Drosophila melanogaster: one gene and its partners. The protein of the gene in region 1 interacts with the protein of each later gene in a pairwise test. Each region holds a gene or a part of one and is shown in the gene's direction. Other genes may lie near its edges. The genes, in order: CG3062, Noa36, CG15337 and CG13321.

Evidence for each region.
Region 2: the proteins of CG3062 (region 1) and Noa36 interact in a two-hybrid assay, tested with the Drosophila melanogaster proteins (one large-scale study listed by BioGRID).
Region 3: the proteins of CG3062 (region 1) and CG15337 interact in a two-hybrid assay, tested with the Drosophila melanogaster proteins (one large-scale study listed by BioGRID).
Region 4: the proteins of CG3062 (region 1) and CG13321 interact in a two-hybrid assay, tested with the Drosophila melanogaster proteins (one large-scale study listed by BioGRID).

Annotation. Positions count from the first base shown.
Region 1 is NC_004354.4:4,639,216-4,648,483, reverse strand, and holds CG3062 (uncharacterized protein), read left to right. Parts: upstream 1-3,615; 5' UTR 3,616-3,699; coding exon 3,700-3,726; intron 3,727-4,496; exon of another isoform or gene 4,497-4,770; intron 4,771-6,153; coding exon 6,154-6,290; intron 6,291-6,341; coding exon 6,342-6,651; intron 6,652-6,831; coding exon 6,832-7,116; 3' UTR 7,117-7,215; downstream 7,216-9,268. Other genes in the region: mRpL30 (mitochondrial ribosomal protein L30), read right to left, coding at 1-309, 390-517; HLH4C (helix loop helix protein 4C), read left to right, coding at 2,117-2,620; CG3081 (uncharacterized protein), read left to right, coding at 7,408-9,159.
Region 2 is NT_033777.3:28,596,265-28,602,963, reverse strand, and holds Noa36 (Noa36), read left to right. Parts: upstream 1-3,675; 5' UTR 3,676-3,742; coding exon 3,743-4,234; intron 4,235-4,326; coding exon 4,327-4,782; 3' UTR 4,783-4,905; downstream 4,906-6,699. Other genes in the region: Hrb98DE (heterogeneous nuclear ribonucleoprotein at 98DE), read right to left, coding at 17-192, 1,769-2,258, 2,396-2,446.
Region 3 is NC_004354.4:8,158,303-8,165,351, forward strand, and holds CG15337 (uncharacterized protein), read left to right. Parts: upstream 1-1,751; 5' UTR 1,752-1,810; coding exon 1,811-1,950; intron 1,951-2,019; coding exon 2,020-3,097; 3' UTR 3,098-3,250; downstream 3,251-7,049. Other genes in the region: GIIIspla2 (phospholipase A2 group III), read left to right, coding at 1-75; CG10761 (uncharacterized protein), read right to left, coding at 3,355-4,326; Or7a (odorant receptor 7a), read right to left, coding at 5,964-6,041, 6,243-7,049.
Region 4 is NT_033778.4:12,949,792-12,958,026, forward strand, and holds CG13321 (uncharacterized protein), read left to right. Parts: upstream 1-3,320; 5' UTR 3,321-3,865; coding exon 3,866-3,872; intron 3,873-4,166; coding exon 4,167-4,558; intron 4,559-4,709; coding exon 4,710-4,871; intron 4,872-4,984; coding exon 4,985-5,284; 3' UTR 5,285-5,921; downstream 5,922-8,235. Other genes in the region: CG44251 (uncharacterized protein), read right to left, coding at 1-295, 2,382-2,385; CG44250 (uncharacterized protein), read right to left, coding at 702-1,558, 2,055-2,087, 2,382-2,385.

The DNA of each region.
Region 1 (9,268 bases):
ATGGGTCCCAGGTCCTTGGTTACCAGGCACTCGCCGTTCTCCTTGAGTATCGTATGCCGGACATCCTGGGCAGTGGGCTCTCCGTAGGGGAACGTGACCGGCGTAACCTTAATTAGATGCTTGATCTTCCACAGGCGGGCATTGTTCTCCGGTATGTTCTTGACGACAGTAAAATCGCTCTGCTTTCCGTCTAGTCCCAGATCTTTGAGGATTCGATTCTCCCAGTAGGGATTGCCCTTTAGCGGCTTGATGCGCTGCACCCGGAAAAGTTTCGCCGGCTCCACGGGTGGATCCTGGTGATCGGGAGTCCTGAGCGGGATAGATTTAGCATTAACAAATGCTGGATTTCGTGTGTTTTCCTTTTATACACTGCACACGTGAATACGAACCTGGGATAGTAGGTGATACCCTCAAATTTCTGGCCATTTTTGTAGAGGAACTTCTTGTTGTGCTTTCCGTAGCTGCGCACCGAACATGCGGTGCTCCTCAGTGGATTCAGCAGCCTTCCCAGGTTCATCTTAATTGTTTTCCCCCCTTTGTAATAAAATTAAATGCAAAACGCTTATGAAATAATTGATGTTTCCCCGACGATAACGATTACACAGACATCTGGTTAACTAGTTGCCTATCGATGGGCAGCATGGATACTGCCGTTATGTAAACCAATGTTAACCGCTTGCTGTTAAGCGATACAATTCAAATGCAAAGGCGGCAAAGTTAAAAGTGATAATTTATCATGTACAAACTGAAGATAATTTATCATTTACAAACTGAAGATAGCGAAAACATTATCAATAAGATGGTAATATATATTCGTTGTTTTTTTTTTTAATATTTCAAGAATTAGTTGAGAAAAGAAAGTTTTTAGGTCATCGGATTACACAGCCTCCAGGGGATGATGTCCATTTCTGGAAAGGGGCGGTCTCATATCAAAATCTCCGCCATTTTGTCAGCTACAATTGGCGCTAATCGACGAGGGTGGATAACTTGGCATTGGCTGGCTTTCAACGCAATGGGGTTGTTTCCGATTTTGGTTATAAAGGAGGCTGCAGCTTCCCGACCGGAAGTCAGTTCCACGTGAGCATCCATCCGGCGAGCAACCGACTCTAGTGGCAAGCAAGGATATCTGCCAGACAACTCAAGGATCTAGAATAACTCTGCACCTGTGATAACTGCTGTAAGTTCAGGCAACAAAGCCCAAAAATTGTGAGCAATGCAAATGAAGTGAATGTACTAGCGAGTAGAATAATCAAATTAAAGATACAAATAGCTGAATGAAGTCTCTAGTTCGTTTAAAATTATATCTAGAAATTTGTTAATTAGCTAACTTGACCATGTGCACGCACTCGACATGTGTAAGTGTACTGGAGTTTCATAGTCTTGAGGGGACTTGAGTTACACGACAAGTTCTTAAAACTAGATCGGATTTCCATCATCCCATGGGATCAATAGACACGTCTTCGACTTGATGCAATTCCAGTGACACTTTTTGGACCCAAAACCCATTAAATCAATAGATATAAAATCATACGTTAACCGCAACAATACAAAAAAGGGTGGCCAAGCCTAAGGGGTTGGCATCGCTGAGGTTTGCCAACTCCCGCGGGCAAATAAACGTGCCGATTGTTCAGCTATTTGTGTAGGTGTGAAAATATGCTGCGAATAAACAATACACGCACAATGCCGACAATAAGCACAATAAGTACAATAAAAATAAATGAAAATAATAGCAAACGCAAACAGAATGCAGCGAAAAAGGGGTGTGTCCTTCATCGGCAAGGACGACACACACACACACGGACACCCTTCATCACAAATGTCCACAAATGAAGCATAAATAATTCGAGTGCAAGGATTATGATTTCTTCAACGCCTATTGTAACCTTTTTTTTTTCAATAGCATGAGCGCTCCACCGCAAAGGTAGCCACACTTTTCGTCTTCCTTGAGTTTGAAATGCAGATCTGTGAAGCAATCAAGTACACATTTCGTTGTATTCATAGTCTAAGCTGTGCATCCTCTTGCTTCCATTTCCATTTCCAGCATTCAGCAGCAGGCTGGGCAGCGCAAGAAAGTCCAGTGTCCAGCACCGAAATCAGTGGTGCAAATAGCCAGAGAATGGTCTACGATATGAGCCATATGGCGGCGGGTCCGCCGCAAAGCATTTCGCTTAGTCGCTACTATCTGGTCGACGATGATGAGATGATTGGGCCAAATAATCCGCATCTGGTCAACGAGGACTATGCGGCCAGTACGACGCTGGATATCGATAAGCGTTTTCAGGCGCGAATGGCGTGCGAAACGGCCGCACAACCGGCACCGCCACCGCCGCCCACGCCGGCGCCACGTCGCCGGACCACGCCCATTGCCCATTTGGATCCATCGGAATTGGTGGGTCTATCGCGGGAGGAGCGGCGTCGTCGCAGGCGAGCGACACTCAAATACCGAACGGCACATGCGACGCGGGAGCGTATACGGGTGGAGGCATTCAATGTTTCCTTTGCCGAGCTGCGCAAGCTGTTGCCCACATTGCCGCCGGACAAGAAGCTTTCCAAGATCGAGATCCTCAAGCTGGCCATCTGCTACATTGCCTATTTGAATCATGTGCTGGAGACGCCCTGAGATAGCGCCGGCGCCTCCAGTTTCGCCACCAGCTGCCTCTTTAACGAGGCCAATTTTTTCGCCCCCCCGTAGGAGGTGGGGGGGCGTGGCGGGCGGATTTAGGGGGAAAACATTGCGAATATTCCACATCCGATAAACGCATTTCACCATGCTCTGTAATCCGCACATCGCTCCATTGGATACTTTGCCGGTGGCGGCTATGGATAATGCGATTATCGAATTAGCCATCTCACCAACTTAACCGAAGTGTTCGATGGATTTTGCCGATTTGCTAACCTATTTAACCTATGGTTAAATACATACATTTTTTTGTTTTTTGTTTTTTTTTTTCCTTGCCACTGTTGAAAGACAAATGCCCGTCGTTTCGTTTCGATTCGTTTTTTTTTTTAGGCTTAGGTTTGTTTTCGTAGAAACAATTGTAAAGCCACGATTTAACCTAAGGTTAAAATATGCCCGTACTAAATGTAGAAGATATAAGCTATTAGTTTGTGTAATTTAATTGAAAAGTAGAAATATCGAAGGAAATAACAAAACTAAATATGCCAGTAGTACATACAATTAAATTTATGGGAAAGCAGTGCTTAATCCTCGGAGTAAACCTTGATCATGGTTTATATAATATAAATAACCAAGAAAAAAAAAACAGAACCTTAAACTAAGATCCATTTTTTGTCTAGCCTTTAAGTCGTGATATTTGTTTATACTCAAACGATTAATATATACAGCATTGTAATCGCAATAAAAAATTGTCTACTTTATGTATTTTGGCGCGCCTTTGCACGACACTCCCCTCGACTTTTGGACACCAGCTGCTCTGACTGAGTTTTCCATTTGTCTGAACGCTTTGCTCGGAAAAGCCAGATGCTAACAGTTCCCCCTTTTTCACCAACCTTCAAGAACCACGTATCCACGTATCAAAAGCGGGCGTGTCCTTTGCGCCAAGCCCCGCCCATTTGTGTAAAAGCGAAGTAGAGCAGCCTCTGTCATAATTTTCAAAAATTGAGGATACATTTTTATTTTTTTGTTTTAGAAACTGTGAAAGCGTCACGGAAATTTCGACTTTTGTGCAAAATTTCGAAATGGCCCTTCATTTTAGTGCACAGCAGGTAAGACAAATTTATTCTAGTCGATTGGGAGGCTGTTTTCAATATCCATAAATAGTGGCCTAATTTGGTTGGTACGGGTAACGGGTATATATATATATACATATATATATATTTGTGTGGATCCATGGATGTAAACATTTTCGCAATAATAATAACAACAAACGTGGCAATGGCAACCAACTCGATTCGGCGCCATCCTTTTCTATCCAGTGAAAAACGACTCCTGCATTCCGACAATCGGCTGTTTGTCCCTGTATGGGTGCTATTTTCATGGGTGTGGGTGTACTGGCGTTCATAAACAAAAACAAAGGCCAGGCGACAAGGAAGTTTTGTTGTGTGCATATTTTAGTTTTTACCAGTTATATATTTTATTCTTTATTTATATTTTTATATATTTTAAATTAACTCATTTTGAATGGCATGTGTTTCCTTTGCTCGAATTTTAAACTTTTGTTTATTTATTTTTGAAAATATATGTCGGGTGTTTTCTTGTTTTTGAGTGTCGTACGCATAACGTTACCGCTACCGCTCCGTTACCGTTTCCGCTCCCATAACCGTTTGAGCTCGCTTTTTCATTTCCTCCCCGCCCACCGCCCACCGCCCACCGCCCACCGCCGCCTTTGCACATTTGCAAATAGCGACAGTTAAAGTTTATTTACTTGGTAACGGTTACTTTGGACCAGAACCTTTGCCACGCAACTCGTTTTTGGGAGTCCACAGCTATTCGCCATATACACACACAATCGCAACGGAATCGGTTAACTGCGGTGGTGACGGAATTTCGAAAAGAATCTATTCGAATCGCACTCGAGAATCAATCGAAACGCCTGGCGTTAATGGTTTACCAATTGGCCAGGGCGACAGCTGTTCGGCCAGCGGAAATTGAAATTGGAAAAATTGAATGGAGCATTGAAAGAAGCAGAAGCAGGAGGCGGAGCACAATCCACAGGATACAGGAGCTTTGGACCAAAGGATAGTCGGCGGCAGAGCGTGAAATTAGCTTAAGTGCTTGTCGCCTCGACCAGGACACACCAGTGGATACAAGTGCGACATTAGATACGATACAAGAGTACCCGAAAGTAGAGAAGTACCTTCATTCTGGCGAACTTCTAGCCCAACCCCAGTGCCTCGGCCTAAACCAGCGATTCAACCGTGCACGTGTTTGCCAACTAGCTTTTTGACTGTCTAATCCTGCGGATGCGAGAATGCAAGGACACCATGTGATAAATTGCACCCCAGAGGGTTGCCATAAAAATCATCGCTTCACCCAGCTGGGGTGACCACCTCACCCATCTCAACCATCTCATCCAAGGGGTGCAAACTATTCTACCCATATATGCTACCAATCTATCTATCTATCCCATCACTGTATCTATCTGTCTATTGTGTAGCGTTAGCATAGATACCACACCATCGAGCCAAGTGCTGTTAGCTCCTTTGTTGCTAATTGAGTTTAAAATCAATTTGTATTTTTTCACGCCGCAATTTGTTCGAGCGCACAGCTACATTGCGTAATTGCCGTGCAAATTTAATTACAGCGCCGATGCGGTAATGCTGGTTGACCAACAAAACAGCCACGCGCTGCGAACGTGCGCCCTTGTCACACCCACTCACAATACGGAATCAGCACCCAGTGGAACACCCACTGCAGCACCCATCGATCAAGGCCTCAATCAAGTGGTGACACTCGGAGCGCTCCGAGTATCGAGTTACCAGCGAAGGTCCATTTGCATTCCTTAATTGAAATTCGTACGCGTGGGAAGACCACGCAGCCTGAAAGCTTTGAATCTCCCAAAGTTGGATGTTGCTCCATGTTTTTTTTTTTTTTTGGAAGAGATGATCTTCCATTTAACAGATTTCACTTCTCATATTCATATTCAATTATGCCACATAGTAGTTCAATCCAATTCAATTGCAGGCATATTGCCGGGCTCACTTGCTCCTGTGCCCGCTTAGGGCTGGCTAATCCTTCTGATAAATGGTCCGGGCTTTGGATGAGATGCAGTGGCTCGTTTTTTAGCGCGCGCAGAGATGTTGGAAATTTTTAGAAAGGCAAACACAAACAAGGCATTAAGTGGCATTAGACAAATGCCTTTCTACACATGTTCCAGCGTAGAGATTACGCCGTGTAATTGGCCCCACCTCCATTCGCCCGGGGTGGGTTCCGGTTTTCGATTGACATTTGGCCACGGCTGCGGGGTGGGCTACTGCTCTGCTCTGCTCTGCTCCTTCTACAATTTTTTTTTTTTTTTTTGTTCTTTCTTTTTATCAATTGCCTTGTTTGCGCTGGGACCATAAATAAGGGCATTACTCGCAGGGGGCGTGCGCGTTTTCCTAACAGGTGTCTATCGACTCCTGGCTAATCCCATGCCCATGCCCATGCCCAGCTCCCTGACATCGAGTTCCTTACTTACTCGTTCGTTGCAGTTCGAAGGCCGATTCCAGTCGAAGCGTCTCAACAACTGGGAATATCCGCGATTCTCACCACCCCGCCCACGTGGTCTGCAGAAGAACGCCAAGGTTGTGGCGGCCAATAACGGTCACCTGCTGCCCGAAGTGATAAAGTAAGCAATTGCCAATGCCCCACAATTATACAGTTTAATTTTAATCCACAGGGAGGGCAACTCATTTGGCCAATATCGTGGAACCTACGAGCTACCGCGTCGAATAACCCGTGCCTTTTGCGCCCACTACGATGCCTGTCTGAGTGGGCGGTACAAGTTTGTTGACTTTCCGCGTGACCTGTGCAATTGTCAGCGAGAGAACCGCAGGGCACTGGCCTGCGATCAGCGGTTGACCTTGGGCCACAAGGACGATCCCTACTGGATGCGCGAACGGTGCCAGACGAAGTGCGAGGGACTACAGAAGCTGAGGGCGTTGAGCGAGCGGAGTGCGCGCTGCAATCGGGCCAAGTGCGACGTGGTGGTGAGTGGGAATCGGGGTCACCATCGGGGTCACCATCGGTGTCACCTCTTACCAATTATGTGCACCCAGATTATTGAGTTATCTGCAACCAAGCTATACATATTTTCATTTCTGGTTGCACTTTTTGCACTTTCATCCTGCACCCTGCACACTCACATTCACATTCACCTGCAACCGTAGAGCGAGAAAACCGTGAAGATGACGCCGAAGGCAATCAAGACGACGGGTGTGGCCACCGAAAAGCGGCGTCGAAAGCGCACCATAACCGCCTTTTCCAAAGGACGAACGGCATTGCATCCCAATGAGCTGACCAAGCCGATTCCATCGTCGGAGAAACCGGCGGCGACTGTCGCCACTCCCAAGGACAAGCCGAAGGACAAGCCAAAGGACAAGGAGGCGGGCAAGAAGGATAAGACGAAGGATAAGGGCAAGGAGAAAGAGCGCAAGGCGGCGAAGGGCCATTAGTAAAACTTCATTATTTTGTTCAACCGAAATTCAAATCAAATTCATTGTAACCGCAGGTTTAAAATACATTTTAAAGGGCAGCACGATTGCACTCAACACAAATCATATAGCATATATATTTTATAACTAAACCCAGGTTAAACCATCTGTTACATATGTACATAAATCATACATCATTATCATCTCCATCTCCATCTCCATCTTATCTCATCCCATTCCATTCTGCACCACCAACGCATTGCAACAAGTGAACGAACCTGAAAGCCACCTACTCCATTACTCCATCCAATCATGTCGCAAACAGCTCTCCCGGAACTGAGCTACACGCCGGGCGACCTAACAGAGCCGCAGTTCCGGCTGCCCTCGCACCAGGAGCTCCTCGACCAGAAACGCAACAGCACGGACAGCGTGCCACTTGGTCGTCTCACCTTGGACACGCGCGACACGCAGCCCATCAAGTACAGGGAGCAGCTGGGCTCGGCGGCCGGTCGTCAATTTCCGGCATTGGCAGCGGCCCAAAATCGCTATACGGATCACTTGGAGCGCAGCAGCGAGTTGAGCTTTGCGTGCCTGGAGCCGGGCAAGGATCTAATCTCATTGCCGACGGTGGGTATACGAAGCTTTGATCTCGATCCCGTATCCGTATCCGAACCCGATTTGATCAAGAAGATGCCGCTGCACTCGATCACGGAGAAGCCCAACGAGCGGTGTCCATCGCCAGTGGTGCCGGCATATGCCAATTTCGAGCTGGCCAAACGGATGCACCAGGACAATTTGGACCACCAGCCGCTGCCCGATTGCGTCGCCGATTTGGCATTCCGGCGAGCGCAAATATCCGGCGGACATGCTGGCCTGGCCCTGGAAATCGATCCCATTGCCACGGGCGTGGGTGTGAAAACGCACAATGCTGGTCCGACGCACTGCACCAAGATGAAGGTCTTTCGTCCGAAGACCGGCGGTGGCATCGTGCCACGTGCCCTCGGCAATGGCGATGCCTTTCGAGGTGTTGGCTCCGCTCCGGCCAAAAAGATGGGACCCATGGATTTGGCCATTTGTTGGGACTTCAAGCCGGCGAATCCATCGGATGAGCCGCGCCTGGCCAGGCACATAGATGGCTCCAATGACTCCGCTGGACCGGCTGTCTTCACCTGCGTGAAAACGCCTCGCGAGGAACAGTCCTCGGACTTGGGCCGATCGGCTGGCGTCTTCACCAGCACGCTTGGTGAGGCCGATTTCTTCGACAAGGACATCCTGAGGAAGCGAACGGATTTTGGCGGTGCCCGTGTGGATCGCGAGGATCCGTGCGCCTGCGACTACTCGCCACCGGCCAGACAAAGAGCACGCAGTGTCTCCCGCGATTCCAGTGCATCGCATTGCAGGCGAGGATCGGGCATCGGCGGTCCAACTGGCGGTGTGAGTTTCGGCAATTTGGCGGAGCTACCCGGTCGCGGGATGCCCGATCGTCTAGCCAAGCAGTATCAATCGTCACCCCTGCTGGGCGACAAAGCCTACCAGGCTTTGAGGGAGAAATATTTGGGTCCGGACTCTGGACAGGATTGCAGGGCCATGGATTGCCGGCCAACGGGTGGTCCACCATGCAAGCGAGACGTTCTCCTCCGGCGTCCAGCTCGACGTCTCTGCCACAAGGTGGCTCCAGCTCCCAGATGCTGTCCCCCATCGTTCGGCGGACATGGTCATCACCATGGACATGGACACGGACACGGACATTGCTTGACCAGTAAGGCGGCATTTCGCGCCGGAGTGCCCAAGCATAATGCCTCCGGTGATTTCGTGGGAATAGAACCGGGCTGCGGAGGAGGTGGCGGTGGCGGTGGTAGGGTTCTGGTGGTGCCACGCCCCCGGCAGCCGTATGCCAAAAAGAATTACGACATCGAAACCCTGGTGCCGCCCTTCCAAAGCCAAGCGGGCGGAGCGGGTCAGGGCGGCTATCCAGAGCACTGGCGATTGGCCAGTGTCTATCAGCACGCCTACAAGCCCATCGACCAGCGGCGGCGACCCCTTCTCCAAACTGTCTACAAGTAGGTGTGCTCCAGGATGGCAGTCCGCTCAAGAGAGAAATGTCCGGACAAACGGGATAATGAATAATTGAAAGCTATACAAAAATGTCCATAAGCTAAGCAAGTATATTAAC
Region 2 (6,699 bases), on another chromosome or scaffold:
ATCAATAAGTTCTTACCCAGTTGCCGCCACCATTCTGGTTGCCGTAGTTTCCACCGCCCATGTTTCCGCGGTTTCCACCGGCACGACCACCCGGACCACCGCGTCCTCCGCCACCTCCCTGTTGGTCATTCTGCTTGGGCAAGGCCTTCTTTACGTCCACCATTTTGCCATTCAGCTGATGCTGCTTTTGCACTGCAAAAATAAAGAGGGAAAGCATGCTATTAGTGGTATTCGAAAATGAACTTCCCTATGTGGTGCATCCGGAGGATAGTGTGCCATATACTCTTTCATCATTGGTGCACAAACACCACCAACAACAACAATATAATACTGGCTGGGATTTCATCTTACAGTCACAAACGCCGCACGAGCACATCGAACATTGCTATGCGGAGCTGGGACTGTGGAATTTTAGCTAAAATTAGGATCGATATCGGATAGTACACATTCACCATTTCGGTGCATTTGATTTGCAGTTGTAACGAGGCTGCGTGTTACACAGAATTGATTTATAATATACATTCGCATCACATAGCTTAGCCGACGCTTAAATTAATCTCACAGCGTTTAAATAAAAACCATACAGGCGACTTTTTCAAGCCCGTCAATTTGTCAGTACTGTGACGTCCACGAAGGGGCTGATCTAGAAACTTTCTGTTTAATCGGTTCGATAATCAAGGTGTGCCTTATACTCTTTCATCGTTGATGCACGAAGAGCACCAACAACAATGATATAATACTGGCTGGAATTTATTCTAACAGTCACAAACGCCGCACGAGCACATCGAACATTGCTGTGCGGAGCTGGGACTGTGGAATCGTAGCTAATTTTAGGAGATATATTCACGCTAAATAACATTCACCATTCTGTGGATTTGTCAGTATATTCAAGTAAGCGAAGGCATTTAGATACTCATTCTTTTCATATAGTTGGTAATTCAATGTGATATTGTGCCTTATACTCTTTCATCGTTGATGCACGAACAGCGCCAACAACACGATATAATATGGGCTGGGTCTTTTATCTTACAGTCACAAACGCCGCATGAGCACATCGAACATTGCTATGCGGAGCTGGGACTGTGTATCGATTTCCATAATAGCAATTAATTGAACTATTGTAACGAGGCTGCGTGTTACACTGAATAGGCGCAATGCTTACATTCGCATAACATAGCTTAGCCGACGCTTTAATTCATCTCACAGCGTTTAAAAAAAAACTACCCTGGTGATGGTTTCAAACCAGTTAATTTGTCAGTACTGTGATATTAGGAAACAGTTTTAGATTCAAGCTATAGTGTGCCATATACTCTTTCATCGTTGATGCACGAAGAGCACCAACAACAATGATATAATACTGGCTGGAATTTATTCTTACAGTCACAAACGCCGCACAAGCACATCGAACATTGCTATGCGGAGCTGGGACTGTGGATATATTGTAATAATTGCAATTTTATCGAAATTTCTTGCTTATAGTGCGCATTCGTTTATCCGACGCTGATGGACATTTACGAGAAGCCCTACAATGTGCCAGAGCTGATTGAGCATATAGATTAGGGGTGGTTGCATGTCATACTTTTTTTCTACACGAACGCCGCGTACACAAATGGGGTTAATATTCGTTTCCTGTGCAGATAATTCAATCTGTATTGTATAAATCTAAGAACATGGCAATGTGATTTTCCTAACAGTCTACTCTCGAAGAGATAAATCATTCTTAAAGGATATTTGATATTGTCTAGATTAGGAAAAGCGTTGTACTTACACACAACTTTGTCCACGGGATCGTAGTCGTCGAACTCGACGAAGGCGAATCCGCGTTTCTTGCCAGTCTCCTTGTCAATGACTATGTTGATGTCGACGATGTTGCCAAAGTGCTGGAAGTAGTCGCGGATGCTCTGCTCATCATGGTCGTCCTTGAGGGCGCCAACAAAGAGTTTCTTTACGGTGGCTCCGGCATTCGGGGAATCAATGTCCTGACGGGGAACGGCGCGCTTGGGCTCCACCACTCGACCGTCGATCTTGTGGGGACGCGACTTTTGGGCCTCATCAATCATGCTCGAGTGGGAATAGGTGATGAATCCGAATCCGCGGGAACGCTTTGTGCGCGGATCCTTCATGACCACCACGTCCACGATGTTGCCCCATTTCTCGAAGTGAGCCTTTAGGTTCTCGTCGGTGGTACGGTAGTCCAAGCCACCGATGAACAGCTTGCGCATATGCTCCGGCTCGGTGATGGAGTCCTGAGGAAAGTCCTAAATTATTGATTTTATCAATGGCCATAACCTCACTTTCCGCCCTTGAGACACATGCGTAATTTTCAAAATGGCGACCGGCAAGGCGAGACACCAGCTTACAGGAAATTTCTAGACCCTTAATATCCACTACTTACATCATCATGGCCATTGGAGTTGCCGTTCTGGTTCTGGTTCGAGTTCACCATTTTACTAATGCAAAAGTTGAACAACTTCTAATCTAACTATTTTTTTTGCTATTGCAAATGGAGAAAGTCCCCTGACACACGAGACGAATGAAAAAACTGAATACAGTGTGACCGTTTCTACAACCCGATTAAACCCAGCACCTATTCGATACTACCTAGAACGATAACGATAAGTTGACAGACACCCTTGTCAATACAATACTTTTACAATATCTGCCCTGTTTCTTTTCACCATGCCTTAAAAAATGTGTGTAACATGTGTATTCTTGATCACGCCTTTTGCACTAAAAAGCTAAAAGAGAAACCAATACCGACAGCATCGTACTCCCTAGCACTATTAAGATACAACTACTGTTAGTCTTAGTCTTAAGTAACAAAACCGCAACGAAATGCTTTAGCACATCAACTTTAGTTGCCGCATGGGTAAAAGCGCGTTGATCACCAAAATATATATATATTGGGATTATGGCCGAACTGAGTTTTTTCCCTGTGCAGTCGCGGTTTTGTGTGCTACTTACATCTTGCTCCTCATTTTGACCATTGTTCCAGTTGTCGTGACCACCCATTTCGAAGAACTTATATTTAAATATCTTTACTGCTCTGATATATATCTCAGCAATACTATAGAAATAACGACACTGGGAACGAAAGACGCTCACTGTAGCACCCCTTCCCTAAAACTGAAAATATATTTTCCTGTGGAAAGGAAAGCCGTAGACAGACCTTACAAAAATACTAGACCTAAATAAAAGCAAAGGTATTTGGTTACACTAATCGGTTGTTGCTTCCACTTGTTTCCACTGAAAATCTATGTGGGTCAAATTAGCGTCTATGGCAGAACGGTGAAATATGGAAAATGAGAATCTTATTTATTTATTTAATTTTTCGCTATTTATAGGTAAATTCCAAAAAAAATACAAATGCAAAAATCTTAATAAATCGAACTATTTAAGAGATCTAACTATCTATGTACGACTAAAGTTTATAGGACTCAGAAAGTATATAAAATATGCAATAAAAAAATCGGCTAGCTACTTTTCAAGGAATATCTCCACTCGCAGAGCATATTCCAAAATGCACGCTGGCCAGAAAAATGATGTGTTAAATTACTCGGCTCCGCCGTCGCCGCTAACTCCACGATGCTAATTTAACGCATTTTTTGTAGCTATTTTCAAGATGTAGCTACATATTTAGCGGAATATTCGAAAGCTTTTTGTGGTATTTTTCGGCGCACCCGCAGCAGCCACACTGCCGCACACGTAAGGAAATAAGTTTTCTAATTCCTTGATTTCAAAAATGCCGAAAAAGAAGACTGGGCAGCGTAAGAAGGCCGAGAAGCAGAAGCTTCGCCTCAAGGAGATCCGCAGCAGAGAGGTGCCTCTTGCGGATTTGCCCTGCAATGCACCAATGGAGTGCGACAAGTGCGAGAAGAAGCAGAAGTCGAGAGCCTTCTGCTATTTCTGCCAGAGCATTCAGAGATTACCCATTTGCGCCCAGTGCGGGAAAATCAAGTGCATGCTAAAGACCGGCGACTGCGTGGTCAAACATCCGGGCGTCTACACCACGGGCCTCGGAATGGTGGGCGCCATCTGCGACTTCTGCGAGGCTTGGGTTTGCCACGGACGCAAGTGTCTCCAAAACCACGCCTGCACGTGTCCGCTGCAGAATGCGACCTGCCTGGAGTGCGAACGCGGTGTCTGGGAGCACGGTGGGCGCATCTTCAAGTGCTCCTTCTGCAACGGATTCCTGTGCGAGGACGATCAGTTCGAGCACCAGGCCAGCTGTCAGGTGGGTAACCAAAAATACTCATTAAGCTTGTTCCGAACTTCATTTTGAGATTCATATGACGCCTTTTGGTAATGCAATCCATTCGGTTCCAGGTGCTGGAGTCGGAGAACTACAAGTGTCAATCGTGCAACAAGCTGGGTCAATACTCCTGCCTGCGCTGCAAGACCTGTTACTGCGAGGATCACGTGCGTCGCAAGGGCTTCAAGTACGACAAGAACAAGCCAATTCCATGCCCCAAGTGCAACTACGATACCTCGGTGACCAAGGACCTCAGCATGTCCACGCGGTCGCACAAATTCGGGCGACAGCAACAAGGAGGCAACAGCGACGACGAGGAGGGATACGGTGGATACTATGGAGCCGGTGGCAGTGGCTATTATGGTGGCGCCGCCAGTGGGGGCTACTCCTACGGGGGTGATGACGATGAAGATGAGTCCGATGGAGACTACGATGATGAAAGCGATGAAGACGATGATGATGATGAGGAAGAGGACGAGACCACAGAAAGTGAACCGGAGAAGGAAACCGACAAAAAGGCCACCAAATAAGGCTGAATTGTTTATATACTCGTAAATGGCCTTTTGTTAGTCCCTCTAAGTGTGCGAATGAATTCTCGGCTGTGCAGTCGTTTCTCTCGATGTAATAGGGAAATAAATTCTTTGTCAAATTGTAGAGTTTCCAAGTAGCCATTTTATAAAATGCAACAAGCTGCAAGTGGACTGTGGGCGAAAGTCGAAAGGTAAATGCGCAAGCGAATGCGAATCCAAATTCCACAAGGGAGGATAACTGGGGAACTGCGGGTGCGGATTGGAAATAATGGCCCTGGGCAGGGAGGAGCAGCAGGGCCAACCCGTACGCATATGATGATGGCGATGCCAACGGCTCTGCCAGCGCCAACTTCTCTGCTGATAGACTCATCCATCTCCAATCCACTTACGAGCGCAAATATTTACACAATTTACTCGAAAACGGAGGTATGAGCATATAATATTTCCAAAAACGATGGCAAACACACCACACACACCAAGCGAAAGACACGCACTTCGGCATTTGGGAATGTTTGTCAGTTAGGCAGAGCGGAACAGCAACAGCAATGGGTAGATGGGCGATGGTTGCTGGGCCATGTGGGGCACGGGATGTGGGCAGGGTTCGACCCATCATCAGTCTGAAACATTTTAGGCATTGCAAATCAATGAGCGGCCTGATATAAGGGAGGAGCATAGTTCTTCTGCATATGAATGAAATCATATGTGGCGTTACTTATGTAGGCGAGTCCTGGGCGAGGATGTGGACGCATGGGGTCGGGGACTGGGTGGCATGAGTGGCAGGCAAATCAACTGTGTACATAATACAGATTAGTGTGAGAGGATATGGGATGCACATACAGTCGCGGTGGGAACAATAGTCCTTTGATTTAAAACATAATCCGGTCTCTATAGTAGCTAATATTAAACATTTAAAGCAAGATTTCTCTTCACTTATATTTTTCCCTACGAACTTTAAAGATGGATTGATACCTACCATATCCTTGGTATAATGTGTAATTAGCCTTGCTAAGATACCCCCTGCTGTGGTTACTTACACGACCATACTTATGTATAGATCGGAGCAGCTTAATGGCCGCCTGCCAGCATTTGTGTCTGCATTTCAATCAAAATGGCCTGTCTATTCCGGCCGAGGCGATGTCCAAGCCATTGGAGTTAGGGCTACTCAACAAAATTAGAAACGGGGTGGCTTATGGGGGCTAGATGGAGGGGGTGTGCCATTTATGGACTGTGGGCTGTGGTGGTCAGTGCCAAACATCAATAATAATTTCATAAATGTAATCAGAGAGAGGCAAACAAGACCCGAGTCGAGTCACAGTGATTGAGTTCTTAATTGCACTGCGATATTAATCCTTGAGACCACTCTGTCCAGCCAATTTGGTCACTTCCCATCACGATGACCGCCTTCATTAGCCGGAGTGCATTCTCAATTACCAGATGGATGGGTCTCGGGTTTAAAATCTCGCTGGGATCAGGATTCCCAAGAAATGCCAAACGCAAACTGTAATCACTTCCGATCAGCATTATCTACTGCTTATTTATGCAATGCCAATATTTTTGTCGGCCAAAGTCAATCCATAACAAAAACACAGCCATGGCCAAGGATTAAGGTGGGAAAATCCTGTGGACAATCCGAGGAACACGTGGAGAAGTCAAAAAGTGCGGCTTATGGCCAAACGCAATTAGCGTTAATTACGATGGAAAACAGCCGGAGCGGCACAGCTTCCCATGGTTACGGGTTAAGGACTCTAGGATTTTAGGATTCAGCAGGTCCTTGCGGCCACTTGAAGTTTAATTTAATTTCATCTTGCGGCTGCCGCAGCGTTGCTCGCTTCAAGTGATTGCGCCATGGGATTGGATTGGTTGGGATGGTCTAGGTAGTTTGGATTCGGTGGGGGTGGTATCTAACGTCATCATCAA
Region 3 (7,049 bases), 3.5 Mb from region 1:
GGAAAGGAGACCGATCCGTGCCTCAAGGAGGAGGTGCGTCACAAGGCCTTCCTGCGCGACAACAAGCGGTTCTAAGAGACCTAGGTGGGTAGAGCTACCATTCATGTTTATGCTTTCAAAGGAAGAATGATGTGGTTATTCCATTCAATTCCATATCGCTTCTATCGTTATGCTTTGCATTTGAATTGGAATACAGCTTAGCTGTAATTTCTAGAATCCTTTGAGTTTGAGTAACAATATGCTTTTCTTTCCATATTTCCAGTTGGCCCACGACGACCGGCAGGAATTTGTGTATCCCAAAGTCGCCTGCCCGCAAAAGGAGCTAACCAAACATACCGCCACATAGTGCTGCAATTGGGTTTGAAACTCAATGGGAGAGCATGGCAAAACACCATCATCATCCGTACTTAGATGAACAGATTGTGAGAGGAGGAGGAGGAGAGACAGCCAGAGACACCACGTCTATGTATTAGGCTAAATTACCAACATATTTATATGACTGTCAAGTGCTATTATAATGCGTAGTAGTCGATACGATGTACTAACACACCTAGTTGTAGTCACTCAATCTAGTTTAGGCCAACGAATCGATAACAGGCTGCCAGAAAACCAAGTTTTTTTTAAACTAGCTGTAGACCCCATAGATACCCTATAAACCACCTGTGCGTAATTAGTTGTAGGCGTAGTAACTTAATAAATGAAATTTCCAAAGAGTAAAAGCATATCATAAGACATATGTACATGATTGTGATTGTATTGTGCAAATACGAGCTCCGTAAACCGGCAATCCAGCAATCCATCCATCCATCCGCTGTGGAATGTCGTACTTTGCACTGGGCACTCGGTATCAGCATCCCATCCAGCCAGCCATAGTATACGCGTATGTCTGGACTGTGATCGCCGCATTGACGTAGCTATTGCCCATCCAGATGACCCGTTGACCCATGGATCGTAAGCTCGCCTCTCAATTGGCTACCACTTCTAGGTCAGATGCGTCATGGTGGTGACCTCTGCGAGCTCGAGAAGGATTCATGGATTAGTTCAAGTCCAAGGTACATGTTTATGTGATGATTGGGATTTAATTCCCAATATTTAATGATGATGATGATATATATTGTATATAAAGGCCACACTGAAGTTTTCCCAGGCCTTTTTGTTTGGTGTAGTTAAGCTGGCAAAAATATAGCACAGTGTGAGGTCTAGTTCAAGAGAGTCCAGCATTATAATCAGCATTCAGCATTCAGCAACGTGACGCAATTAAATATAAATAAATATTTTGTATTATTATTATTCACTATTGATTGATTGGCCGTTTACAACAGAGGGGCCCGTCCGTATTGGAGCTTGTAAATACTTCCTGCCATTTGGATTCAATGTCATCGCATCCCATCGTAATCGTAGCTTTCGTTTTTTTTTTCGCGTAAACTCGACTTTGGTTTGAGGTACGTATGTATACTCGTAGTACAACAGTGCGTATACTCAATGCATTCGAATTGTTATGCGCAAGCAGTTTATTTGCTGATTTTCGCAAATAGTTACGTCACGAAAACTATTTGTCGATTTGCAAATGGAAAGTGATATTCTCACGCAATTTGGAAATTAAAAACAATATTAATAATATTAATTGTTAATCATGGTTGTGTTTTTCCGTTTCAAAATCAATCAACATTGAATCACCAAGTAGCTCGCCGTTGAGTTTTCAGAGTTTTCGAAACTATATTTGCTTTGTCAAAATTTTAGAAGAGTTAGTGCGATATTTTAGATTTATTTGGCATTGTGTGTTGCACGTGAAAAAAAATCGCTGCCGGACATGGACACAACAATGCCGATGGGCATGGTGCCCAACAGTCTCAATCCGATCCTCAATCCTCGACCCCTGCCGATACCCGTTACCAAGCCCAGAACCAAACTCCAGCCGGATGAGCCACACGATGGCGTTTTAGCGTTTAAGTAAGCATTGGTTTCGTCACTGTCCAAAGTCCTTATCCCACTGACTTCCAACCCTATTAACCACAAAAGCAAGGGAAAAGTACCTCCGCCGGTATCCTCACGTCCTATTCCGCTCCAGCGTGCAATGTCTGAGGTTCGGGACGCGCTGCGAGCTCAGCCTCAGGCCAGTGACATTCGCCTGTTGATCTTCACGGCGGCGGCCAGCAGTGTGGAGCACGAGAGAACTCTCATTCCGGTGCCGCCACAATTTCAAGCGGCACCAGGCTCCGGCTGCCAAGTGGATCGATTGCGTCACGCCGTCGCCGATAATTGGCCCTCCTGTCGCATCATGTTGGACTGCCCCAGTACTGACGAGCAGTATGCCGCTTTGATGCCGGACGATGTGGACGCCCTGCATTTGCTGCACTGGATCCTGGTGGCCACGCCCTCGTCGCCCACTCTGCGCCGCATGTCGGGATTGCATTTGCGGCGACTTTGCCGCTTTCTGGGCCTGGCACGACCCACCTTGGAGCCCGGCCATCTGCTGAGCATCAGTTATGAGCGGAATGTTCAGCGGCTGGGCGATTCGAGTCCAAGGCCAAGATCCAGTTACGCCTATCTGGGCTTGCCCTTTCAGTACCTATATCGTTTCCTGGCCACTGGACGTCTGGAGCAACCGCCAGGTGTTGCCATTCGTTTGTATGCCCAACCGGAAACAGCCTTGGTTCACTGCGACGAGCTGAGCTCGCTGCCGCAGCAGCAGCATGTCCAGTCGGAGGAGCAATCGTCCAGCCAATCCATTGCAGAGAGGGAGCAGTCTGGAAATTCAAGCTCGCTGTGCTGGCGGAACTCCACGCTCACTGCACCGCAAAGGGCACTGGTCATATGCGAACTACCCTCGGAGTTGGACGAATCCATTGCCCATTCGCCGGAGAAGCATTTTCTCGAGTACTTTGTGCAGGAATCGCTGTCACTGCGACCCTGCTATCTGCTCCTCTTCGACGAGGCGGTGGCCTCCAACATAATGTTCGTCTGGCCGGGCAAATGTATTGAGCTGGAGCATCCGGGTCCTTCGATGGTCCAGAGATCGCGTATCAGGATCATGAATATCGTCCGGAATCTGAGCAACCGGTTGGGAGCAGTTAGGCGGGCTTTAGCCGCCATTTAGATTTTTATTTTATATATGGCCAAGGACACTGATCTCGGCCAGGTGCCGTCCGTCGTTCAAAGTCCTGGACATGCCAACTCCGGTGAACTGGAGCTACTTAATTTTTTTGGAATTTCTCAAACAATTGTTAATAAATATTTGGCAACTTATACTAATTTATTGATTTTTGGCCATTCTATAAAAGAAAAAACTAAATAAGGATCAGTGGATCTTTGTTGTAACTGATGGATGCCTGCAGATTCTAGATGCCTTCAGCGCTACCGGGACTGATAGTTGATACGATTGCGAGGAGTGTAGTCCATGACGAATCTGTGGCGCCTCTGTTGATACTGCGACTGGCTAAGGAAGATACTGGCCAATCCCTTGATGGTCACAAAGGTCAGTCCGCCCAGGAGGATGCTCAATAACTTGTTCTCCTCGTAGATCCTGCCGAAGAGCTTCTGTCCCAGCACCACGGAAATGGTGGGCAGACTTAGGGCAATGCAGAAGCTGGTGGAGGCGCGACCAAGTTGCTCCGTTGCCAAGTTACCGCCAATTAGGCCATCCGAGGCCGGATACTCGCGCTCCAGCTCATCGAAGTACTCATCGCTCAGCGGAGCACCGGGCAGGGGTAGACCCACAGCATCCAGTTGCTCGGCGGGAATGGCGCTACGTTTGCGCCGACGCAGCCAACGGATCACGCAGTCCTCCCAGCGCACAAGCCTGCTGAGAAGTAGGAGCGTCGGCACCGATGGCAGCACAATCATCAGCAGCGAGGGATCCTCTTGGAGCAGCTTCATGCCCGTGCTGTAGCCGGCCAGTTGGAGCACGGTGAGTGCTCCGTAGATCACCGCGGAGAAGTAAACGGTGGCCGCCAGGATGCCCATCAGAACACTGGGACACATACGATCGCAGCCCTTGTCCAGTCGCTCCAGCATGGCATCGAAGCGGCATAGTGGCGGCATCACTATAATGTACTCCGTGCGGCATTGGGTGCACGTCACGGGAGCACCCGGCGATAGCATCTCCTTCTCATCGATCCAGCGACTCAGACAGGCCTCGTGCACCCATTTATTGGTGCCGCGACAGCGACACGGATGCACCCAATCCCTTCGGCGGTGATCCTCATCGCCCCTCAGGCAAATCCAGCACATTCTGTCATCCACGACATTGCCGGATGGCGGTTCCAATCCGCTTCTCAAACGGCGCAGCCGGCTGTGAAGCGGTAAATGCATAAATTGTCGGCTCATAGTGATGGTGATGTTTTGGGCGATGGCAACGATGACCACCGAAGATCCAGTGATCCAATCTCCAGGCGGAGCAAATGAAATTTGGAAAGGTGGCAACTTGAATTTTGAACGGCTGCAAATAACCCGCTTATATGTACTTTAAACTCGAAGGTTCCTGATTATCCTGCTTCTCGAATCATTTTTGTGACATTTCGACATAACATACACTTTTACAACACTACGTTTTCGAAACACACCGATTTCTTAAACCTAACAATTTTTCAAATATTCTATATGATTAATTCCCTAATACTTGGAAATTCTGATCAATTGCTTAATTCTAAATTATATTATATAATATAAAAACTACAGCAATAAGTTTCAGATACATCATACCAATATTTTCGATTATATTTATATATTTACAATGCTAAGAACTCGATTTTGAGGCATTTTTCGAGTGCATTCCCTGCGGTCTACTTTGTTTTTTTTTTTTTTGTAGGTGGTTTACTTTCGGCGAATGTGGCACATGCCAAAAGGAAAACCTGTTGGCCCACAAAGTGAAAATAGGCGAAGGCCAAGTGCAAGAGTAGCCAGCACAAACTGGATCTGCTGGATGTGGATGCAAATGCGACTTTGCCTCCTTTTTTTCTTTCCCAAACATATGAAACGTAAGTAAAGCAAGTTCAAACTTACCATCCCGATGATCCTCAGATGGAAATGTATCTTATGGCTGCAATTTAGGAGCAGGATCAGCACTGGCCACTAATCCACTGAACATAAAACATAATTTTCACACACATTTCCGACGAAAGCAACTTCGCGACGGACCGAAAAATAAGCAGAACCTGTCGGCTCGAGAGCAGAAGAACATTTGGCCAGCCTCGAATATCTCCAGCTTGGCCAGAATTTGAGAACCAGACTGGGAAAGCCAGCCTTTCCATTCCACTTTTCCCCACTTTGGCCAACAGCTACACGCAGAAAAAGTTGATTTCAATCTAGAAAAAGGTATTTATAACTAATTTTATAACATAACTATATACATATATTCCAAGCAACGTTTATATATCTGATTTGAGATCTTGATACTATACAATAATATAAACATATATAACATATACATTTTTCGCTGAGTGCACGGGCCAACGGTAAAGCACAACAAAGTGTGGTCACCACTACGAATTGGGCCAGAAATCGGTGGCCAAGTGGATCTGGCATGGAGATGGCGACGAAGAGGTGGCCACTCCGCTCCTGACAGGTGCTTCGCCTTGGGATGCAAAAAAGTGGATGAGTATTGCGATAGCGGTGATCGGGGTTTGGGGATCGGGAATAGAGGTGCGCCAATGCGATTCGGTGGTTAGCAGGCTTCTGTTCTGGCCGATTAGCGATCATTATTGATTTCGCTTTTAATTCGGTATCTACTTGATATCTACAGCAGGGAATACACTACAAAAAACAAATTGGCACATCGTGTTCTAATTTATTTGCTTACAATACAGTGTGTATCATATTGGAATGGATAATCAAGCTACAGTTGGGATTTAAAATCCCTAAAACTAGCGCATCCTATAGATACATATATATATAGATACGCATATTATGCGAAATTTGATAGATTATATATATGTATTTCTCAGTGCATCAACGATAAATGGTCTTCAATTTGTCCTGTTGAATCGCTCGCCGAGATTCATCCCCTTGATGAGCGTGTAGAGCGAAAACGAGAACTTGGCTATCTAAAGATATGGAGAAAATATTATTAATATAGAGGAAAATCTATAAACATCATGCTAAGGATAAGAAAATTGGTATGTGCTTTGTATTTGGAAAATAGAAAGAGTATGTCCTCAGTTGGTAATCCTCTAACTCTTAAGCCAAGATTGTTATTCATAACCTATCATCTCTAACTATGGTAACTAATAGTAGAGCGGACTTACACTGAAGTACGTGGCCAGATTGATGGGAAACAGCTTCATGGCGGTCAGCGTGATGGGCTGCTGGGCGCGATGAAGATAGTAGAGCAGCATCTTACGGAACCGGGCACTCTGGCCCAGCCACTGGCACTGGAAGATGGCCAGGGCCAGCCTCTCGTTGTCCAACATCAGCGAGGTGGCCTGATAGCAACATGGAGCCGTCTGCAGGGTCACCGCCAGCAGGTAAATGATCGATGCGATCTTCGTGTTCGTATTGGCGAAAATGAAAATGTTGATCATGGTGGTGCCCATGATGGCGGCGGTGATCAGGAACTGAACGAATATGGTACGCGAGATGACGGGACTAATGCAGTCGAGCAGCTGCAGCATCGTCTGGTGATCTACAATGCAGCGCTGCAGTTCCGCGCAATGCTCCTCCTGCCGCCGCTCATCGGGATAGATCTCCACCTGGCCACTATCATCCGTGCCCAGCTTCTCCACCCGCCTGGCCAGCAATTGCACTTGAATCCGGACCACATACAGATAGATAACGGCGTACACATCATCGCTAGCTTGGTGCAGGCACGTCCAGTTCATGATAAGGAACTCAATCCAGGCCTGGATGCAGAACTGCATCTGGGAACGCTGCCAATCGAGGCCAGGCAAATAGAGGGCATATGGCGGTTGGCCCAGCAGGAAGGCGCACACAAATGTCGACGAGGAGTAGATGGCATAGCAGATCTGGTAGAACCATACCAGATAGTTGCAAAACCTCACCGCATCGAGGATCAATTGGAACTCCTCCTGTTCCCTGCACCGCGCATCCAAGGC
Region 4 (8,235 bases), on another chromosome or scaffold:
GGCTGATCCAGCGATGTGCGTCCACAGAGTACAGCATTCTCCGGAATCACATGATCGTAGCACTTGATCCACACCAGATTCTGACCGCACAGCACCTCGAAGATGTCCTTGGGCAGTGCCTCTCCTCGCTGCGAAATGAATCCCAGTTGCTTGCTCGGCACCACCTTGCAGACCAACATATCGCCCTCGTGCTCCGCCCTGCCCACGTATATCATGGCGCCGTCCTCATCGTTGCCGCCCACCACTGCCTCCTCGGGAAGGGAGGAGTAGGCCGAGGATTGAACCCACTTGTAGGCTGAAAGAAAGATGCATTTTGTTATTTGCTTATTCAGAAGTGATTAGTTTATCATAAAGGACTAACCAATAATATGCTATTTCATCTATAGACATGCAAAAAAATGATGTAGTAATTTTAAATTTCTTTAAAAGTAAATAATGTGGAAGAAAGGTAGAATATAAGGAAATGACCTTCATAGCAAGCCACTATCGTAGCTCATAAATTTTGTAAAACCTGTCTAATCCGACAGTCCATTTTGGCCATATCAGTATAATACATTTGCAGGGATAAGTATTTTAAAAATAGAAGGAACACAAAATGCCCACAGATTTCTTCCGGTATTAACAATCAGTTTATTTGGCTGCGATAACAGTTTGATCTAGACTAAATGCATATGGTATCTGTAGTGTTCCGTTCCTTTAGCTTATTGTCTGCAGAGAATCTCGTACGAGTTGATGCGAATCTCCCGACCTCCGTACGGAATATAGAGGCAACGCTGGCTGGCCGAGATCAGACCCGGTGTCAAACTGCCCTGGTAGTGTCCTCGCCCATAGTACAGCAGCTCTCCATTGCGAGCACGACCCGTGGTTACGGCGTTTGGTGGAATGCTGTGGCCGCAATTCATCCATACATATCCGTAGCCAGTGAGCACCTCGTAGCTGGGCTTCTGGAATTCGTATCCGCCGAAGCAAACGTAGGCGGTTCCCTTGCTCGGCACCACCTTGGCAGGCAGCATTTCACCCTCGTGCATTGCCCTTCCGGCGTAAATGGGAGTACGGTCGGAGTCGTGTCCGGCGATCACTGCGCCCGGAGGAGTGTAACTGGGCGAGGCCGGTACCCAGACGTCGTGCTGCTGCTTGATGAGCACCTCGTAGGTGTTGATGCGCACCTCCTGGCCGCCAAATGGAATGTATAGGCAGCCGTGCGATGGATGAACTTTGCCCACAGTCAAGCTTCCGGCATGATGTCCGCGTCCCACATAGAGCGGCTCGCCCGTTCGCGTCGTTCCGCTCCTCACCGCATTCGGTGGCACTCCACCGCTGGAACTGGGCACCCAGGCAAATCCCTGACCCACCAGCACCTCGTAGTGCGTCTTCGTGTGCTCCGCACCACCGTAGGCCACATAGGCGCATCCCTTGCTCGGTACGACCTTGGCGGGAAGATTCTCGCCTTCGTGAAAGGATCGACCCACATAGATGGGCGTGCGGTCCGAGTCATGGCCACCGATAACCGCGTATGGGGGCAGGGGGCTGTATGGAGACGAGTGCACCCAGGTGTTGTCTGCAAGGAGAAAGGCAGTAGGGCGATAAGTTTGATACCACGCGATAAGATAACCTATCTGTACACAGAGCGAAAACCGGAGAGTAAGTTTCGTGTCCTTTCCATTGGAAATATCTTAAAACTCTACTTGATTGATTTAAATCACTGTTATATTAATATTGTCTTGATAGATATTATATATTGTTATTAAAAAAAAAAAGATTAAGATTTACTAACTTCGTACTTTTTCAAAAGGTAAACATTTATCATCCCGAAGCTGCATTATTAAATGGATACGGTTTTGATTAAAAATTAAGTACAATGTACAATATAATGATTCACTCTATACTCATACTCTCATAGCTTTTTCTCCGTGTACATATTTGGCTTGCTGTACGGTTTTGCGGGTTTGGGTGGTTTTGGGTGGCCTAGGTGGTCTGGGGGCGGGGATCAAATGGGATTTGGGGTTTCACAGAGGCGTAGGGGTTTCACCCTGGGCTCACTGCACTCGTCCTACCAACGGTCACAACTCCTCCTGGCTGCACGGCGCCTGGAAAGAGCAAAGAAAGGCGGAGAACTGTAGAAGTCACTCAATGCTCTTTGCTTTTCTTCCGGCTAATGTGCACAGAGAAAAAAATCGCAATACCAACAGAATTGGTCAGCACTTGCGGATTTCTTCGCCCGTAATTGGGAAATTGAATTTAATTAAGCTAATATGCAACAATATATTTTTTGATTTTGATGATCTTGAAGGTAAATTACACTTATTTCATTAGACTTTGGCATTGCAAAATCATTTTTTTTTTTTTGGTTGCACTTATCAGAGGTTACTCATTCTACTTACCCATTGTGCGTTAATTGTTGATAAGTTATTCCTATGAAAAATAGTTTCTTTTATTCACTTGCGTTCTTCTGACTCCAAAATGCGTCTGAACTGACCAAAGTTTGTCTTTTCACTAAACTATTGGTTTGCAAAAGCCTGACGTTTAAAAACCGAACCAGAGCGATTCGTCACTGCTTCTTATCGGCGAGCTTTTATCTTTCAATTCGCATTTGTACATATATAAAAAAAGAAGTGCAGTTGATATTGGGACCTTTGCTATCACTAATTTTAACTTCCAGTCTCGAAAGCTCCATTTCCAGAAAAGCATTCCATTTATCGATCGAAAATGAATCATTGGCCCAAACAGGCGGTACTTTTGGGAGTAAAAGAAAAAAACAAGTAAATCGAAGCATGTGGACATTGTTTTAAATGTTATTGTTGTGCCCTCTCAACAGGTGGAACCCCAATTAAATAGACCCATAAACAATATGACGCCTGCCAGAAGCGCCCATGCTCAAAAAATCCCCCCCGTTGAAGGGGCGATAAGCATGTCGAAAATTTGTACTTTTAATAGAAAAAGGATCATTCATTTTGAATTATTTTTTACCTACTGAAATATTAAAAATAATCTTTAAACCTTTAGTGTAATGTATGTGCTTATTTTATCTCTTTTAATTAATAATTTCTTTGTAATAACAAACAAACTGATTTCAAAGGACATATGTATGTATGCATTTATGTAAGGCATAAAAGGCATTAAAAAGTATAAATATACATATGTGACTCAGCGGTAACGATATCAATAACTTTATATCGCAATTGACTCATCTTTAGACCAAACAAGTGTCTGTAACTTTACAACAGTTACAGTTAGTTTTCCAAAGGTTTCTCAATTATTAGGTTTATGATTTGAATAATCCACAAGAAGGTTAGGTAACTGTTTACATGTTGGTTCTTATTTTTGTTCTAGAAAAGCATTCCTGAACTTATAGTTGATCCATGGACAGCCACCCTCATACATATAATCTTTTACGAACTTATTGATGAAGTTTATTTTTGACTACCGGCGATAAGATTCGTAGCCAACTGCTTATAGATAAAACCCGCAAAAACAAAAACAAATATTCATGCACAAGATCGATTGAGTAATTTTGGTTGCGCTTCCTGTTTAACCCAGAATTTAAATTGTTTTTACCAAACAAAATCATCCAATATACATTCTGACACACCTGTCAGTTGGTCGCAATGACGAACACCCTCTACGACATGAGGATACCTTTGTGGAACACACACAATCGAACGGTTCAGAGCAGTGTGACTAAGATATCTTATCACTGCCGGCTAACTTGCCGAACTGATAAGCGGAAACAACAGCTTTTAAGGCGCAACCGATGTGCGGGTAGCGACCAGTCGTTGAAGTCAGCCCAAACATAGCGGAGCCAGCGAGTATATAACATCACGTTCCAGACCTAAATCAACATACAAAAAAAGCACACAAATACAACATGGGAGGTGAGAACTGAAGTGCAAAGTTAGTGACTAAGATAATTCTGGCGAAAACGAAAGCATAGTGCCGCAATTAGTCGTGACAAGTGGGCAAGTGTCATCGATACTCCGCGCACCTGACAGCCGAAATCCCTTGGAGCTTTGGTAGCTTTCCATAGATCCAGCGATTCTACACCCTGACAAATAAAAGACAAAAAACCTCTACTGTGGCTGATTAATGGTGTACAGTTGGCCCTCGTTGGCCCAAGTTAACTTATCGCCTCTGACCTTGCTCTATATATATATTTTATTCGCCCTCAGACTACACCTGGATTAGCACCAACGTTTACGGATCCCTGCCCCCAGGAGCCATCCTAGCTGGCCACGACTCCGACCAGGATCCCATCTTTGTGGGCCGTGCCTACCACAATGGAGAGATGCTGCCAGCGAAGGTGGTGCCCGGCAAGCAGCAGGCCTATGTGCCATGGGGCGGTCAGGAGATCAGCAAGCATGACTTCGAGGTCCTTGTCGGTGATCACTTCTCCTGGATCCCGTCCAGTGGTGGATCTGTCCCGCCCCATGCCATCCAAGTGGGCCAGACTGGCGAGGGTGAGCCCCTGTACGTGGGCCGTGGTTACTTCCAGGGCAGCCTCACCCCCGGCAAGGTCCATCCCTCGCACCAGTGTTTGTACATCCCCTACGGCGGACAGGAGGTAGGTCTAACCCTCACTTTGATGTTATGTTGATGGATTCCCTTCATCCCCTCAACAATAACGTTCGAAGACCACGTAGTGACGAATCGCACAAGCAGTGTTTGCAATGTGATAAATCTTAGTAAATCACTTTTATCTTATATCATTTCAGCACCGTCTGGAAGCCTATGAAGTGCTGGTCCAGCCCGAGACGTGGATAGCCTCTAGCGGACGCGGCATTGTTCCCGGAACAGTGGTTGGCGGACACGACGCCGATGGCGATCAGATCTATGTGGGTCGCGCCTACCACGAGGGCGATTTGCTGCCAGCCAAGGTGAGAACCTTAAACTATATACAGCTCGTGTTCCGAAAATGTACACTTGGAGCATTCCATCTTTAAATCTGTTCTGTTGCATCCCACTTTATCTATCCACTTATCCACCACAGGTGATCCCCAACAAGGGCTGTGCCTATGTGCCCTACGGAGGCGGTGAGGTTGTGAAGCACGACTACGAGCTGCTGGCCGGATACGGGTACGGATGGGTGCACGACAGCCATGGCAATGTGCCCGGCAATGCCGTTCTCTGCGGCCGCACTTCCGACGGAGAGCCCCTGTTCATCGGCCGTGCCCACCACCACGGCAGCCTCACTCCCGGCAAGATCCACCAGTCACACCATTGCCTCTACATCCCATTCGACGGCGAGGAGGTCCGCATCGACCACTACGAGGTCCTGGTCAAGGGCTGAGCTGCTACAGCGACTAGACTTTTGTGTTGTCCCCCCGTCGTCTGCCTACTAATTTATAAATCATTTTGTTTCATTAAAAACGTCCTCTGATAAACCAAATGTCCGAAATTTTAATGAAAAATGACAAGACAGCTCATTGTTGTTGCTTGGTAAACACAAGTAATTTGTTTTAACATATTTGATATATTCTATATATTTAATAATCGCCTGCTATGAACGCTACTCTATAGCGAATTAAGTTATGCTCAAGTTTATTGGCATCGCAGCAAAAACAAGGACAGCTTGTCCAGTCATCCCTGGTTTCCATAGCTGTCAAATTCGGACAATGACTCTCCAGGCACGAAAATCCAGCAGCTGCCACAAGTGAGTTGATGATAGACCGGGGTCACTACGCCTTTTGACTTCTAGTCGACCGATTTCGGCGAACTCCAGTAATCAAGAGAGAACTATTACTAAAAGTCAGTGTGGTGGTTCACCGCCAGTTTAATGGTTTCTAGACTTTTGGAGAATCCCTGGTCTTGGTTATTAATATGGATTGAATTTTGCTGGAATATGTATATTTCCTCGCAAAAGCTTCTCGTAGGGAAATGAGAAATTGGGTAAAACGGAATAAAGAAAAGAAATAAAATATGATTCTAATCAATTTTAGTATTGATGTTTTAACAACAACGGGAACCTTTTTTATAAGTTCTTCTTCTGTGGAAAGGCTATTTTGATTTCCGATATATACAACTCAAATGATCTCGTCAAGAAGGGCGATAATCTCATACAACCAAAAAATTCGTTACACCTGAAGTTATGCTTTGTTTTGCAAGCTTTTCCAGAGCTTTCGATTGACTCTCTACATGGCGCGTAGACTTTATGTAAAGATACACCCCCAGGGTCGAATATCTTATTTTTTTTCCCCTCAGCCGCACTCGCTTGCTCTCACTCGCGCTCGCCCTTACTGCTTGCTTGTCATTGGTCGTTTGTTACCGTCGTCGGCAGCGCTATGTTTTCATTGGCTAACTGGAAATCCGGCCGCTCCCGACCTCGAACTTAATTGGTCTTCTGTAGCAAGTTTCTCAGTCTGTGGACGTGGCCAACTAAAAGTGGCAGGTGGCCAAGACAAGGCGTTTCCTATCACATTTCATTTACAAGTTAATTTTCCACCAGAGTCCTTAGCGACTTGATAATTTCGCTATTGTCCAAAGGGGTATATTAGATTTTAAAAATACGTTTTTACTGATACTCACGCAAAAGGTTCATGAAGAGAAATCTTTTCGCTCCAAACTGGTTTTGGTAGGCCGCCTCCCAGGTCTCAAAATGCCGTCGCTACTTCCACCTATACTGAATCCAACGAAAGACAAAACAGTAAAGGCAGATTATTTGTAAACATTTAGCTTTAACACCTGGAAGTCAGCTTTGTAGATCTTAATCGCTGCGGACGGCATCTCAGGTAGTGGTACTATACATACACGTAAAATTTATAAATAAAATATTATAAATTAAAAACAGATAGTTAAGTAGACATAGGTCAAAGTTAGAGAAATATTAACTAACTTATATTTTTTTGAACTTAACGTCTGTGACCTATAATTAAAGGGGAATTATTTTTAAGCTAAGAATTCCAAATTATATGTCACATTTAAACATATTTTTATGTTGCATATCGAAGGTTAATCAAATGTTTAGGGCACACAAAAGCCCTAAAATCCCATGTTTTTAGTTCAAAGACAAATCTGTTGTACACTGGATTGTACATTGTAACATATGTAGCTTAAAGTTCTAAATGTTTAATGGTTCGAATGCATTTCTGGTTTCAGTACTAAGCATTCCCCATTCTACAATACAAAAAAACATCTATCGCCAATATCCAAAATGCAATAACACTGAAGATAAAATCTTAAATAACTTTGCAGATTAAACAAAGCGATCCAATTTAATATTTCTACCTGACCATGTTACCCCTTTTTACTAAGCCCGTTTTTATTTGAATATCAGACACCCCAATGTGTAACCACCAGCTTTCCGAACGACTGTCAATTTCAGACTTTGCAGCGGCAGAGTCATAACTTTAAAGCCATACAAGGAGTACGGGTTGCGGGACATGGGAAGACCCACCCCCTGGCGAATAACCCTCGGCCAATATAAATTCTTGTAATTTAATTTCGCTATTGCAAAGCAAGCGCACTCACATACTCGTAATCCGTGCCATACAGCGTCAGCAGTGCCACGTAAAATCTCGCATTTATTTTCCCGGAGAAGAGATATTAAAAGGCAACTGTGATGCTATCGGAGACCACATCCCATTGAAGCCGAAGCCCAGCTTCCTTTGCTTTTTTACCGCCAACCCTCGGAATAACTGTGAAAATGCTCGACATTCCAGGGCCCAAGCAACAATAACAAACGGGGACGGGACGACTATCAGTTTCAGTTTCTACAGACGAGAGGAATGACAAAATTTCGCCTCTGGCCTGTCACTGTATCTGAACCTCGTCGTCTATGCATGTATCCGTATCCGTGTTCGTATATTTGTATCCGTATCTCAGTCTCTGTATCTTTTCGCAGGGCACATCATTTAGCTGGCAACGAATGAAGCCGTTTTGTAGAAGGGCTCTACCAGCATATGTACATAGGTTTTCATATGCCGCCGTGTGGTACATAGGGGAAAATTTCTATATACAACAAAGGCGATACAATTAGTTGAAAAAGCCCAAGTGCGATTCGATGTCGTTATATCTGTGTGTGGAGTATGGTGTGTGTTCTGTGCGAAAGGGAGGGTTGCTCTGCCGACGTCGCTGCTACGAAGGTATTACTTTTTTTTTAGACCAGCAGTACGGGTCTTCATCCTGTTTCGTTAGCGAACAACGGGGCAAAACGAAAAACTGAAAAATGTACATAAAATGGAAATGAGAGGCTTTTGTTGAACGCACGGCGATGGGCGTTTCGGTATATAAATCGACACCGAA